Bombyx mori: one gene and its partner. The protein of the gene in region 1 purifies or fractionates together with the protein of each later gene. This does not show direct contact. Links are inferred from orthologs where the notes say so. Each region holds a gene or a part of one and is shown in the gene's direction. Other genes may lie near its edges. The genes, in order: cap-specific mRNA (nucleoside-2'-O-)-methyltransferase 1 and putative pre-mRNA-splicing factor ATP-dependent RNA helicase PRP1.

Region 1 (3,836 bases):
AATTATGCTTTTAAATTTATGTTGCTGGAAGTATACAAATTATAATATCTAGCAAATTAACAAACATGACTGCAATATATTTTTGTGTGCAACGTTATTTTTACATGAATACCCAAAAGTAGATGATTTTTAATGTGCATCCCCGCTCACACCGGAACAGCTCAACGTATTTAGAAGAAAAATCGATACGAAAATAATTCAATATAAAGAAAACTCATAGAGTGTCACTAAGGTTGAAATGATTCACGTATTGTTCCCTTATTATGACAGCTTAAAAATTTCATTACTACTCAACGAAATACCAGTATATAATCAGTTATTAATTCTAATTCAATCCAACGAAAAGACCTCCAAAACACGTTCTTGACGTCACCTAACGAAATATTCCGCCGCAACATTCTACGCCAATACGAAACAATAATTAATGTTGGTTGCTTCACGAGTTTATGACTCCACAAAATACTGAACCATGTTGTTTTTGGGCTAGAGACCAAATAAATAACATCTACATAGATGCTAAGAGATTAAAATCTAACCTACGACATTTTTAGTAACTTGTGCAACCCATTTATAGCAGTAGCCGTTGCTACTTTATTGAAAAGTACCAAGTTAAAGAAAACCGGGCTCGGGTTTCGTATTTACTAAAAATAACGTTGTATTGCCACTTCAATGAGACGGTCCCTGAGCTTTGGGTCGGGAATTTGGTGACGTCACATGTGTGTAACCGCACATGTAGGTACATATGCGGGTACGAGAGAATCGCACGATATTAACTATTAACGTAGATAGCTATTTTTCTTGGAGAGGGCAGTCAGCTGATCGGCCACAATAGATCATTAAATTTTAGTGTGATGAACGGGTTTTGAAAAGAATTAAATAGAAATAATTTAACAAGTGATGTCATGTAGCTACATTTTAACCATCGTACCAAAACCACATCGCACAACCCCTCGGGAACCGTGTCACTCAAGCGAGTATCTTATTATATTGCGTGTATGCATGATTTTTTTTTAAGTTAAAGAAATTATGAATTTATTGAATTAAAGAAAACAAAAAGTTTACTAGTAATATACTTAAAGCATGTGTGATAGATAAATTAAATATGAATTCTCTGATGTTATTGGCGGTTTCCGTTGTCTATGTTGGCGTACATTAATAAATGAATATGTTTATGTTTTAGTTTGTATTCATAAACCAGTGACTTCCAGACCTGCAAATTCTGAGAGGTACCTGATTTGTCTGTGGAAGAGGTCATGGACCGAGTCAGCAGAACATCACCTTTACACTGTGAACTCGATCCTATGGAACAGTACTAACAGTGATATTGATATTTTAGAACTAGTTCCTATTGACATCATACAGGAAGATACTGAATTTTTCGAATACGTTTACAAGAGTAACTGCATGTTAGTATAATAATTAGATGTCGTAATATTCCAATATTGAATTTATTTGTCTGAACTTTGTTCAATTAACCCGATCCAACTTATTTTTAGTCTCGGCGAAAGGCAAATACAAAATTTACTTAAGATAGCTGCATTTAGCAAACACAAAATTTTGAAAGAAATTTATCAAGCTGAAATGAAAGAACAGTGCTTGCAACTCTGGAATGTAAGTGCTTCAAATTCTCGACCGTACAAATGATGAGTTTACAGTTTCCCTAAGTTATTTGGGTTTTAACGAGCGAGGATAAATATAAAGAATCCGTTTCGGTTACAGTTGCCAGATCAAGTCAGAACTCAACCAAAACGCCTCAATCCCGATGAAACATTAAAAAACATTTTGTCCACATTAAAAACACCCAATCCTCACAGTCTGTTCAATTTCAAAACGAATATATTAAACAAGAAACCTGAATACATAGAGGTGGAAGGTGATTTGACAAATTTCAAGAATGTATACGACTGGCACTTCATGTTCCTGAGCGGCGGTAAAAATAGTCCCGATTTAAAAATATTCATAGGTAAATTAATTTTGTACAATTTCTTTACCAATTTAAAGTAGTGTTCCGAACTTATTAGATTGTATTTCATGTACAGGTTGCGGTGGAAAACAAGTTTTTCAACTAGAATCAAGCGGATGGAGAAGCGTTTTAGATTTGCAAATAACACTACCAGCTAAAACATTGGTTTACGGAGAAGTATGTTTTAAATGAGTTGCCATTACCTATTCATCTATCTATACTAAATTCTAAAAGAAATCTTTGTACTCAGGTACATCGGACTCCAATTCATTAATTTTTGATGTTTACCACGATTTTTTATTAGTTTGGTTTTGTATTTGTCTGCATCACGATTATGTAACATATTAACAAACCATTGTTTTTTTTATGAAATGTCAATAACAAATTAAAAGCGATATTTTAATACATATAACTAATCTGAATCTTTAATATCTTCGATTCTAAGGTGGAAATTTGATCACTGAGCGAAGACTAATTATATAAAAAATACATTTAAGAATACCGTAATCAATCAGTAAATATTTAATTATGTTAACTATTTTTTTTAAACAGTTTTTTTTTATATAAAAGAAGAAATAAACCCTATTCTGTTTTATTTTGTTTTCAACAATTTTGCAAAAGTATTTCATGAAGTTCGATATGCCTCCTTATCTTAAAAGGTCTGCCTCACTCACAATCGTTGCCTTCACATCAAATTCCATGTTGGAGAAAATAGTAATATCGTCTTTTCTTACTATCACTAACCTGGGGGTTTATTATTATTACAGCCATAAAAATGCTAACTTTCGCTGTTATAGATTGTTAAAGAATATCGTGGCCAAGGCAACAATCAGATGTACAGCAAATCTTTACATATTGTGGACGCACTTATGTTGGGAGGAGTTGATATCTCTGGATACCCCTTGAATGAAAGGTTAGTATTTGATTATACACACACATGCACATTCATGCGAATTTAATCGCGTTCTTATATATATAAATATATGCACAATAATTAAGCAAATATCTATAGTAGAATTATTTTGTCCGTGCAGTTTGGGTCATAAAAAATCGGAGCGGTGAAGCGAGTATTTCGCTCTCTTTCACTCACGAGTCTTATGGACGGGCATAGTAATGCGCATTATTGTTGTCGATAAACGCTATCGATAGTGTATTTAGTTTTGTCATTTTGTGGGTTAGTGATAAAAATGAAAGAAAAAATCACTAATCGAACCGTTACACCACATATCGTCGCAGCAAGTTAACGAGAACGGCAGAAATTAACACTTTGTAACTTTTCGAGATCCATTCTCATTTCAGTGAAAATTTTTAACACATTATTGATAATAACACTTGCTTGTGCAAGCAGATTCAGAGATTCAGAGAGCGAATGCACAAAATCACATTTCTCTTCGACGTACTATAATTTGCAGGTAGGTACAACAAATGACTCATAACTTAACAATGTCTCATCACCCTTCGTGTACCACCCCGCCGCCGTGTACCTGCCTTCGATACTCATTTTTTTTATCGATAATGGCGTTGCGCCCGCGCAACATGCTCACCGCCCTAGCCGAGCTATGTTTTATGACCCAAACTGCACGGACAAAATAATTCTATAGTTGATTCATGTAGTATATTTATTTTAGCACAATTTTCTTGTAATTGTAATAATTGTTCGTTTCCGAGGTAACCAAACACCCAATTTTGGATTTTTACAAACATTTCATTTTTTACAACAACTATTAAAATGTTGCACGTGAACTGCAAACCGGAGTAAATACTATTCACGAAATATTAATTTACAAAAACGATAAGTCATTATTACTATTTTATACCTAGTTTATTTATTTTTCTACTTTCTTTAGACTTCCAATAGGCGTGTTCCAGGAAC
Region 2 (3,836 bases), on another chromosome or scaffold:
AGATGCTGGAAAGTTCCAGCATTATTTTGACAATGCTCCATTAATGAACATTCCTGGTCGGACTCATCCGGTAGAAATATTTTACACTCCACAACCTGAACGAGATTACCTAGAAGCTGCGATAAGGACTGTAATACAAATCCATATGTGTGAAGAGATCTCTGGTGATATACTACTATTTTTAACTGGACAAGAGGAGATTGAGGATGCTTGTAAGAGAATTAAAAGAGAAATAGACAATCTGGGAACTGATGCAGGAGAGCTAAAGTGCATACCGTTATATTCAACATTGCCGCCAAATTTACAGCAACGGATCTTTGAGCCGGCACCTCCAAATCGACCAAACGGAGCCATCGGCAGGAAGGTGGTAGTGTCCACAAACATCGCTGAAACATCTCTGACTATTGATGGTGTTGTTTTTGTCATTGACCCAGGTTTTGCGAAACAAAAAGTTTATAATCCCCGTATAAGGGTGGAATCGTTATTGGTTTCTCCGATAAGTAAAGCATCAGCCCAACAGAGAGCGGGGAGGGCCGGCAGAACTAGACCTGGGAAGTGCTTCCGGTTATATACTGAGAAAGCATACAAGGATGAAATGCAGGACAATACTTATCCTGAGATTTTGAGGTAATTTTTATAACGGTTTGTATGTGACTACCGTTTCGAATGTAGTGAGTAAATACTGTATTTATTTCTATACTAACAGTTGTAATGTTCAATTATTATTCTTATATAATAACAAGATAAGCTCTGTTTGTCTATATTTTATAGCTTTTCATGTGCATCATTATTTCTGTCTGATTGGGTGTGGTCACTGTCAATTGCTGAGAATCATCACTTTATATTACTGTCAATTGTGTATAAAGTTTACTTGTTGTTTAGTAGTCCAAATAAAAATGTATGTGCTATAAAATCATTAATTGTGACGAATCTTGGATATTTTTTCCAAAATAGGTTTACGTCATAGAAACAACAAGCTAGCTATATAGGCTATATATAGTTTCTAGAATATATTTTCATACAAGTCGGTGTAGTGGGCAGAGCACGACAATGTTTCTCTACTCTAATATAATTTTGAATGGGTTACAATTCGCGGTATAAGAATCAGACCAAACGCATACCCACAAAAAAAAAATTTTTTTTTTCATGAAACTGTTCAAAATATAGTATTTTATGAATTGCCAAAACGACGTAATGGTATAGTTGATATTTAACAAATTCCAAAACAACTAAAAAGCCTAAGAATCACTTTCAATGGAACCAGAAAAATGTATGGAATTTGGTATGAAACGAGAAAAATTGAGAATTTTTTCCTGACTTTATCTGACTCTTACACAGCGAATTACACTAACATAGTTCTAGAAGCTAACACCCTAAATATCTCAGCTATTGAATGGGTGAAGTCTAAGAGTACTGTTACTGTCATGTCAATATGCTAAAATCACACCCCCTTTAAGTTTGTCCTGTTCGGGTAATGAAGTGAGTTGTAATCTAATAATACGACTGCGTTGCCCGTTCCAGATCAAACTTAGGATCTGTAGTTTTGCAGTTGAAGAAGTTGGGCATCGATGACCTGGTGCATTTCGATTTCATGGATCCACCGGCTCCGGAGACACTCATGCGGGCGCTCGAGCTGCTCAACTATCTGGCTGCGCTGGGTGAGCTTGTGCTGTATATTGTTTTTGAAATTACTTTAGAAGCGTTCATGGATTATTGTAACTAGAGTTGCCACGAATAGTGATTTGGCCGAATACCGAATATTCGGCAACGCTGTTGGCGGAAGCGCCGAATATTCGGCACAAAGTACATGCTAGTTAGTCGAGCGCGTAAAGAATAATATGACCGGTTGGGACCTGTCTCCATCGTGTGCGGGCGGTGTCCGGCCATTAGACTGTTTCAGTTGCGAGTAAATCACGTCACGGCACGCTTTGTCAGATCAATATAAATGAAACATTACGATTTTGTAGAAAACTTTTATCGTCAGTTCTTTTTCAATTGTTGTTCATTAAAAAATGACACCAATTAATAAAAAATCGGCCATATGGGAATATTATGAGATTTGTAATGAAAATAATAAACAAAAATCATTATTCGAGTTTTTTGACGAAACATGATTTGAGACCTGCCCTTCATTTTTCGGTATTGGGCCGAATAGTACCTATTATTTGGCCCAATACCGAATACCAAACAAAGTGGCCGAATAGGCCGACTACCGAATATTCGTGGCATGTCTAATTGTAACGTCACTAAAAAAGGCAAAGACAAAACAATCATAATATACCATTTGTCTATTCTTTTTGTGGTTTTTCTTAAGCTTTCGTAAGGATACTGTTAGTAATAAATAAAAGTTGGAAATACTTAGCCTTACTTACTTCATGAAGAAATGACAATAACAAAACAAAAGACAGAAATGTAATGGAATTTTGACCATTCAATGGATTTATAGATGTATGCAGTGAGGACAGACCTATGCAGGCTCTGCATGGCCTGCCATGAATTAAGTTTTTTTGCTTAAATCTGTGGGCGTCTATCACCCACCTGATGTTAAGTGGCTACCAGAGCCCTCAGCCATCAATAACGTAAATTTCGCCATCTACATTGAGACATGAGTTCTGAGTATACGTTTTACAGTACAATGGCTGCCTTCGAACCGGAACACATTACTGCTTCACGGCAGAAATAGTCATGGTCGTGGTATCTACTCGCGTGAGCTCACAAGACGACCTAACACCAGTCGAGACAGATGGGTTATTATTCATGATGTTCATTTGTCATTTGATTCTCCACAGATGATGACGGTAACCTCACTGACCTGGGTGCTGTGATGGCGGAGTTCCCCCTCGACCCACAGCTGGCCAAGATGCTGATAGCCAGCTGCAATCACAACTGTTCCAACGAGATCCTCTCCATCACTGCCATGCTGTCAGGTAGGATGTTCCATATCTGTGCTTACAGATAGCGTGGTCATCGTTCTCGTCGAACCCGTCGCTTGCGACGAAGGGCTCGACGAGTAAATTAACCCACAGACACAGCCCACTGAGTTTCTCGCCGGATCTTCTCAGTGGGTCGCGTTTTCAATCCGGTGGTAGATTCTGCGAAGCACGGCTCTTGCTAGGGTTCGTGTTAGCAACGACGTCAGGTTTGAGCCCCGTGAGCTCACCTACTAGTTAAGGTTACACTGAAATAGCCTCTCAAGGGTCTCAGCTTAGGTAGGAAAAAAAACCCAGATAGTATTTGACTTGCTTTAAGTGATTTCTTGTTGGGTATACGATACTGTCTGTTTATTTAAAGAAAAAATCACAAGCCACACTTCACTAGTTTGTTTTAATAGAAATTAATTTTAATAAATTGTCCAACTCCTGAACTGGGGGTAGCCTCAATATCTACAGACTTTTAACTTGGAGAATATACTGGGCAACTAGGTCAAAATGCTGAAACTACAATATATCGAATAAGGATGATGCGATTACAATTGCAAATAAGACAAGCATCATGTAGCTGAATGCACCATAAGCTCATAGAAATAATTTGTTTGATACGATATTGTATAAGTAATGGTTACATGGCTCATCGATGGAGCATGAGACAAAAAATTGTTGAAGAGTGCGGAGTTGAGTGACCCCTCCCAGCACTGACGCTTCCTCACCACATTTGTCATAAAACTAGGGGCCTGTTTCAAACCCAATGAAGGAAGTTTTAACGATGACATTTGTTCTATGCATCAATGGGAGTCACAAGCTATTGTTTTTGTTAAACGAAGAACGCTTATGACGTCACCGTCATGCGAAAGAGACAGCGAGACTACCCGTAGACTGGCTCCACATTAGCAAAGGAAA

The links.
Region 2: the proteins of cap-specific mRNA (nucleoside-2'-O-)-methyltransferase 1 (region 1) and putative pre-mRNA-splicing factor ATP-dependent RNA helicase PRP1 purify together in Homo sapiens (co-immunoprecipitation; 3 studies listed by BioGRID and IntAct, with this or other methods). This does not show direct contact. The link is inferred for Bombyx mori from reciprocal best matches to the Homo sapiens genes CMTR1 and DHX15.

Annotation. Positions count from the first base shown.
Region 1 is NC_085114.1:10,494,001-10,497,836, reverse strand, and holds part of cap-specific mRNA (nucleoside-2'-O-)-methyltransferase 1, read left to right. Parts: intron 1-1,180; coding exon 1,181-1,406; intron 1,407-1,496; coding exon 1,497-1,611; intron 1,612-1,719; coding exon 1,720-1,963; intron 1,964-2,039; coding exon 2,040-2,140; intron 2,141-2,760; coding exon 2,761-2,876; intron 2,877-3,836. UniProt on the Homo sapiens protein: S-adenosyl-L-methionine-dependent methyltransferase that mediates mRNA cap1 2'-O-ribose methylation to the 5'-cap structure of mRNAs.
Region 2 is NC_085130.1:9,705,909-9,709,744, forward strand, and holds part of putative pre-mRNA-splicing factor ATP-dependent RNA helicase PRP1, read left to right. Parts: coding exon 1-627; intron 628-1,521; coding exon 1,522-1,658; intron 1,659-2,789; coding exon 2,790-2,927; intron 2,928-3,836.